Linked DNA regions of Lepisosteus oculatus. The protein of the gene in region 2 binds, or shares a complex with, the protein of the main gene of each other region. Links are inferred from orthologs where the notes say so. Each region holds a gene or a part of one and is shown on either strand. Other genes may lie near its edges.

The links.
Region 1: the proteins of cab39 (region 2) and strada are in contact, whole or in part, in a crystal structure (PDB 3GNI), measured with the Homo sapiens proteins. The link is inferred for Lepisosteus oculatus from reciprocal best matches to the Homo sapiens genes CAB39 and STRADA. Residues at the interface, in NP_001124321.1 of Homo sapiens: Leu26, Glu27, Lys28, Gln29, Tyr55, Gly56, Thr57, Asn58, Ala85, Asp86, Gln88, Leu89, Phe92, Glu93, Lys96, Arg107, Glu138, Leu141, Ile145, Ser176, Thr177, Phe178, Asp179, Ser182, Asp183, Glu221, Asn222, Tyr223, Val224, Arg227; in NP_001003787.1 of Homo sapiens: Pro64, Leu104, Glu105, Cys107, Ser108, Asn109, Val112, Gln116, Leu119, His120, Lys123, Leu124, Phe125, Asn126, Thr136, Phe137, Ile138, Asp140, Asn141, Leu143, Tyr185, Met189, His223, Gly224, Arg226, Val426, Asp427, Asp428, Trp429, Glu430.

Annotation. Positions count from the first base shown.
Region 1 is NC_090723.1:1,910,992-1,914,743, reverse strand, and holds the start of strada (STE20-related kinase adapter protein alpha), read right to left. Parts: upstream 2,285-3,752; 5' UTR 2,101-2,284; intron 1,466-2,100; exon of another isoform or gene 1,361-1,465; intron 1-1,360. UniProt on the Homo sapiens protein: Pseudokinase which, in complex with CAB39/MO25 (CAB39/MO25alpha or CAB39L/MO25beta), binds to and activates STK11/LKB1.
Region 2 is NC_090708.1:8,183,512-8,187,263, forward strand, and holds the start of cab39 (calcium-binding protein 39), read left to right. Parts: upstream 1-1,291; 5' UTR 1,292-1,525; intron 1,526-1,644; exon of another isoform or gene 1,645-1,714; intron 1,715-3,752. UniProt on the Homo sapiens protein: Component of a complex that binds and activates STK11/LKB1. In the complex, required to stabilize the interaction between CAB39/MO25 (CAB39/MO25alpha or CAB39L/MO25beta) and STK11/LKB1.

The sequences.
Region 1 (3,752 bases), on a different chromosome or scaffold from region 2:
TATATTGACATCTTGAAACTGTCAACTGTCTTTTCGCATACCCCAGCTTGCTCTCCATGAGACACAGACACACAGATGAAAGAGATAGGGAGAGAGCCTGTGGTCAGAGTACAGGGTCAGCCATTGTACAGCGCCCCTGGAGCAGTTGAGGTTAAGGGCCTTGCTCAGGGGCCCAACGGAGTAGGATTCCTCTGCCGGCCACGGGATACGAGCATGGGCTGCATCATTAGCTAACCGTGACTGCAATTTAGCACACAACCCTCAGTAAGCGACATGCCAGCTAGTACAGACATTCCTGTAAAGCATGCTGGACCTTCCAGGATTATCTCCACTGGTCCTCGGTTTTACTGTAGTACAAGGGTTGGAGCTGTAAAGCCAAGTTGCTAAAAAAAAAATCAGCAATTCCAGATGGGGAGATCTGTTTGTAAATAAACGCAGCCCTGTACAAGAAACGCGCAGCAAGAGGAATACAGTGGACTCGTGTCTTACGAGGTAAAGTTAGGTTCCTGACAAAGAGCGTATAATCAGAACACCCTCCCTTAGACCTATTCCCCGCCCTGAAACAAGGACAATCAATCTCAAGTGCATTAGTATGTGCATGCATGCGGTTTATGGTATCACGGATAGAGCAATACAGCAAATACAATACTGTACAGCATGCCGAAGAGGTCAAATAAAATTTGATAATACAATGCAGGGAACACAGGAGATGCCTAGCTCTCACGAATTGCATTCTGTCTCAAACTGCACGAATCAAGGATTGATTTCTGCCGTAGAGCACGCGTCAGACTGGTCTGCGTCACCCCACCGCTTAACTTGTTCAAAATCTCGATTCTTAACTCCAAATCGGGCACTTTTCACGACTCGCCTTTACCCTTCCTACCTGTTTTCAGGTTTCCGAGCCATACCGAGGGTGACGCCGCACCGGTGCGCTACAGGCTCGGTAACGAGTTCCTGGGTGTAGCTCAGGTGCGCGCAGTGCCACATGTGAATTCGCACAATCTCCCGCATCGTTTTATTTCTCCGTCACTGACCGCCTGTACACGAATTCGCGTAAAAACACCTCGCGTAAAGACGCAGGTCTACTCGTGTCACTGGTTTCTTGCACTAGAAGAGATATGGGCAATTTGACCACATCACTGGCTGTACTCGGGACAGCCTAAGATACATTGCGGAGGGGGCACCATAGAGGTTGAAGCAGAAATGACCAGCTATGAGAAAAGGTAACTAAGGGGAAAAAAATCGATTAACCGATTTTCTTGGCGTTTTAAAGATCAAATGAGAAATCGTTTCCACACGGTGCATCACTACTTTTACAAAAAGAAAGCTAAACTTAAGATGAAATGTCATAGTTACACACCGCGACTGCTCAACAACGGAACCAGGTACTCCCTCATCCAACGCCACACAACGTTAGGAGAGCCAGGAAGGCATCACATGCGCGGCGTAAAAACACTCCCGACACGACGCAGCCACCAGAGCAAATTGCTAAAAACGCAGGGTGCGCAGTCTATGAATTTAAAACAGGTGAAACACCAGCAGATCCAGACTTGCAAAGGAGAAATGAGCACTACGGTTCATCTGCGAGCTCTTCTTCCACAGAACCGTGTTCAGTAATTGCGCAGAGGTGACTAAACTTAGATTGACTAGATAACGTTCTCGAAATCTGGAAATTAAAAATTACCTAGTCTCCCATCTCATCCGGCCATAGACACATTACCATAGGTTTTCTCGTTTAAATGATATCTGTCAACGGCAATTACTACGAGGATTTCATTAACGACAATACTGAAAACATGTTTACAAAGAGGTATTTATTCTATATGACTGTGTTTATCAAGAATGCTTATGGAACAGTTATTCAATCATTTGATACAATTTGTTTTTTTTTAAGACTTCGGTTACTTAACTAACAAATGCAGGTAAATAAGACAACTAGATATTTGAAACTCTCTGAACTCTTCCAAAAACAATATCAGTTTTGCTTTGCTGTACGCAAAAACTGACAATATAAGTGTGTAGAAAAGGCAAATAAGCAATTCAGGATTTGCAAAACATAAACCCCACTTTTTACAGAAATTTTTCAAAATCACGTCTCACCTTAGACACTGTTAGAAGGCAGAGGTTTGGAAATGTGAATTGAAAACAATCTACTTTACAAATCCACAAATTTGTAACACCTAACGTAAAAAAACGCCTGCCTAGTTTGGATCTGGATTTTTCTGACCAGTCCTGGGTTTATCGCAGAACATGGCACTTAAAAAACTGCGTTAATAGGTCATGAAGGGTGTCTTAGGAGAGAACTGACCATCTAATAGGTGAGTTCGACTGTCAATAACAGCAGAAGGCGGGATCATAACCGAATCTCCAAGTGTTGATTGGTTAATATTGTTAGCATGTCAGGCGACCTAGCGTCGCTTATTTATGACGTAGCACACACTTCACTGGGTACTTGAGGCATACGTGACGTAGGACACAGTCGTGTAGAAGGATTGCGGGCTTTGGGGGTAAACAAGATTTGCTCAGTCGCAAACAGGTAAATTTCGACAGATTTTAAAGGAAACTACGTGTAGAGGCTTTTCAGTATCGTTGAGAAAAGGTTTACGATGCAGAATACTCTGAGTTGTTGGCGAAACACATCTAGATGTTGCTACCAATCAGAACAGCGGCCGTGGTATGGCTCCCTGCGTTGAGTGAAATGCAACAATGCGTTCAGCGAATTCAGGTTAAGCAAATGCGTTGTATATGACCGATGCGAAACGGAAACGCATTTGCATCGTTTTTATTCCTTTAATAGAGCGTTACTTCCGTAGTCTTGTACTGTACGTGTGCAAAATCTGTTCAGTTTTCGATCGTCGTTGAATGGGAGGCGGGTACCCAGTGCGCATATATAGAGGAGCCCGGGGGAAATAACCAGTTTTAAACTTGATAGATACTGGTTGCAAAGTATAAGACACATTTAAATCTTAAATCTAAAATTGCCTGTGTGTCGATTCACCGTGTATCTAAAGTCATGTCTTGATATTTTAAATTGGTTTTGAATTTCAGGTTTTTAAAGAGCATTTTCTTTGTTTCTTCCCTAAACGTTAACCTCATCGCCACGCATTTATTTTAGTAATCGGATCTCCACACTGCTAGGATCATTTGAGTGAAGACGTGACTCCAAGGTGATTCGACGTGCGAGGGTTGCATGATGAGAAAATACGATGTTGTGTTTTTAAGTGTCGCTTGCGACGATGTAAAAAATGGCAGTTGGCATACTACGCTAGAGAAGTCGGCATGTTGCAGAAATAGAGAAAGTTGTCGATTGAACTTTGTGACCCTGTTTTTACTAGAATTAGATGACGTCGTTAAAAATCCGCACTTGAAGCTTCGTGTTGCCTTGTTAGTGCTGTTCCCGGTCCCGGGGGTCTGTAGCCTTGCTTTAATAACGTTTTGAACAAGAATCGAATTAAATTATCTGTCGAGGAATGTTTTCTGTATTTATCTACTAGTAACACTTTTCCATGCTTGCATAAATATCCCGTAACGAACTGCAAAAAAAAAATCACTTATAGATCTAGGCTTAGAAAAGATTTCCTCCTCTGTACTGCGATCTTGCAAATACAAACGAAACCCTGTAACTGGTTTAGCTTTGTATCTCATTGGGGGAAGATGATGGGTTCACAGCATGTACAGGGTAGCAGGGCTTGTGGACATAATGGGCCTTTTATTTTGCTGAGTTGTTTGCTGTAGCTGCTTCTGCTACTGTG
Region 2 (3,752 bases):
GGAGACAGGCCCTCTGTTTCTCGGGCTTCTGAGAGGTGTGAAATGTTGGAGTTGTCTGACTAGATGCCACATTCCTGAAGGCCAGGGCACCTGATAGCATCTGTGCTGTCCCACACAGTTTGTGACTTTGTGACTTTGTGATTAAAGGGGGGTGGGGTTTTATATCTCACTGCTCTTCTAATTGTACCTTGTTCCTGTGAATAACACCATTTGTAGCTACTCTTCATGTTTTGCTACTGGTCTTTACAGCTCTACCGATCCACTCTGTTGGCTTAATGTACACAAGGTATATGTGGCTGTCCCCATACTTCTCTGAAACTGAAATCATCACCTAGTTAAAAATTCACATGGGAATACAGAATCCGTTAAAAATGTCCCATTGGCCTAAAGTAATTTTCCCTCTCTTGTCAGCCACCTTATCATGGTGGTTTATTTAACTACACAAAGTTTCTTTGGCCTGTGATATTTCTCATTTCTAGCTGGTTGTATGCTAATTACTTGACTGTAGGGCCTCATTTGCTTCTCATACAATATAGTTCTGTCATGTCTCTTTACATACTGTATACTGTATGTAACATGGTTCGATTAACTCTTGTTTGGGAATACGCCGATAGGGTAAAAAAAAAAAACTATCGTTGATCATTGGTTTTGTTGTGCTTGTTCTCTAAAAATACATTTCCACCCCAATCCCGTTCTGTCTGGTCTTGCTGTACGGAATAAAGTACAAAAGCCTTGGGAAGTGACGTATCTTAAGTTTCCTATGAAAAACAAAAATGCAAAAAAAATTTAAACAAATGTATTAAACGTATGAAGAATTTACAAATACAACCAGAGGATCAGAAACAGGTACAAGAGAAAAAAACACAAACAGAAAAAAAAAACAATGAACTGCCGGAGGTAAAGTAAATTATGTGATCAAATGGTATTTTTTACATATATCAAATGTTTTCTTGCTTCAGCCTTTTTTATCGAATTTAGTGTTTCAACTCCACCTCAAAAGTACTAAAAAGGGGAGTATTATTAGACCGTTTTGATTTATGAATGTGAAATTCACCCAGAATGACCAATACATTTACTGTACATAAATGCTCTTTTTCGAAATTTCCTATTAAACAGTTCAATAAAATATCGAAATCCTCAACTGCCTGCAAACAATAAAGGTTTGCTGGACTGGGTCATACTGGCATTCGTAGTACTCGAGGAATGAGGAAACATTTCGACTAGAGACTGGCGGCGCAGACCCCACGGTGGCTGCGCAGTGTTGTTGCTATGACACTGGCGGGCGGGCGATGGCAGCAGAGAGCGGCCTTTTCGGTATCACAGCGGAAATAGAAACAGCACTGCACTGAGAATTCGCACAGTTACATCCAGCTGCAGGGAGAACTAGGAAATAAACTAAAAGTATAATCACGGAGGGGCAGTAAATTAAGGAAAACCGGGCGGTATCAACCCCTGCCATTCTCCTCACTTGCTTCTGCGATTCCAAAACACTCGGAGACCAAGGAAGACGGGTCGTGTTTGCAAGGTTTGTTGCAGAGTAATATTTACTATCTCATGCAAACAGCGAAGTTTTTTCCCCTCTCTCTCTCTCTCTCGTCTTGCAGGCCTGTCAGTGTGCTCTTTTAGGCGAGAAAAGAGGAAAATTGTGTGGTGTAAAAAGAAAAACAGCGCAGCGGGTCTATGTCCGTGAGTCCTCACTTTGGAGAATAAACTGGTTTGTGTTCGCATCATTTAGATGGAAAAAGTAACAGTCTGTAGTTGTGCTGTCTTTGTGCGGAGATTTAAACAAGCAGAGCATTTTTTTTTCTTAAGGCCCGGTTGCTTGAGGCCTGCTGGTCAGATTGGATCCAGCACACGGTGCAGTGTGCACTGCTGGGACTTTCCTGTGTTGTGATTGATGTATTCATATAAGTTAACGATTCTGGGCGATGCAATACCAAATGGCTGTTTTTCTTACAGTTGCGAATTTGCAAATCAGCTGTTGGAGTGAAATAAACCACAGCAAACCGATAACAGAGTATCAGCTACTGCTGTTTAGAGACGACTGTCACATCTTGTCTCCAATTTCTGTTTTGTGTGTTTTTTTTTTTCCTGCTAGGGTGCAACAACTTAGCGTTGAAGGTGTATATTTCTGTTTTTCCCTAAAATGACTACCGAGCACGATTGGTAAGCCTGGTACATACTGCGCACATGCAGCACATAGCTCCTTCATTACCTATGTAGCCTTCGTATGTATTCATTTCCTTTAGTGTTTTTTATTTATTATATGCGTACGTGGTCATCTTTTGATTACCACCTTCCGCTGTGATTTGTAATTGTCTAGGGCTGGACGAAAACTCAGTGCCATATTTGTCAAATTACCTGCCACCGTCTGAAAACTGAACGCGTAACATATTGCTTTTGAGCTTGAAGTTGAGGTTGTGCAACGCTATGAAGCAAAAGGGTGTAACAGGCAAGGAAAATGTAGCGATCTGCGTAAACCAAACACTCGTGGTTCAAAGTTCAGGCCGTGGTGTAGGAATAATTGGTTTAGCAAGCTAAATTCGACTTTCTGTCCGTCTTGCCTATTGGTAGCAGTAAATGAGGTGCCGTATGTTTTGTATTCAAAGGCAAAATGAAGTCATGCTATTTATACAACGTGGAATGTCGTTTAAACGATTAAAATAAATGGTGTGTCATTTTAGACATCCTGCTTTCAAGTCTTATCTAAATACCACTCTAGAACGAAAACCTATCAAGGCTTGATTTTAATGAGCTTATGTGGTACAGTCATTTGAAATGCATATAACAAAGATTAATGTGTTATCTTATTGAAGCAGTCATTAGTCTTTCTATTTGTTTATGCCATTTCCATAACTTGTTCCTGTATGATTTTGTGCTACACTTGAAATGTAATTGTGGTTGTCCCCCTTTACATATTATAGAGTGACTAATTGAGCTCAATGATAAGAGGTTTCTTGTTGTTCTGCTGTTGTGGTATTTATGGGTTTAATAACCTTTGAGCAAAACCACACTTATAATTATTCCGTTTTGTAAATGTCAGCTCATACAAAAATAACAAAATGCACAGAACTTGTAAACTAAAATGGGAGCTCGTATAGCTTTTGACTCAAGACATTTTTGATTGTGTTGACTGAGGCGTTGAAGCAGAAGAGATTATCTTGAAATAAATGACCTCCATCTGTAAGGATAAAGGCAAAATATCCAGTGAGAGATTTGATGTTATAACAGATTAATTTGTTGAAATAGAAGACCAAAGTGATTACATTATGCCATATGTATGACCAACATCCTGTCACACGCCTATAGATTGTACACATTAAGCCTAAGCTTTTTATGTAAAAGAAGCCAAGCTAGCTGTGTATACATTCAGAAATATGATGCAAAAATGTTGTATTGGGTATTAATCTAAAGATAATTGGACCTTTATGAAGTACACAGGAATGATGCTGCACACATTTGTGGATGCTTTATATTTTGCTAAGGCACTGTGATTATAATCATGAGCATTAGTTATACTTTTCTATTTGCTATTAGATGTTATAGAGGAATCGCATCTTTTCAATAGATAAAAACATGTCACAAGAGTTCCTTTAAATACGAACATTACAAATGGTAAAAATAAAATGAAGCCCATATAAGTTAAATGCTCAGTTAATATCAAGGTTGTCAACCTTGATATACAACTGTCCAGCAGGTCTTATGGGTCATCCTTATATCAGCTGTTTCTAAATGCTTGGAATAATTGTGCT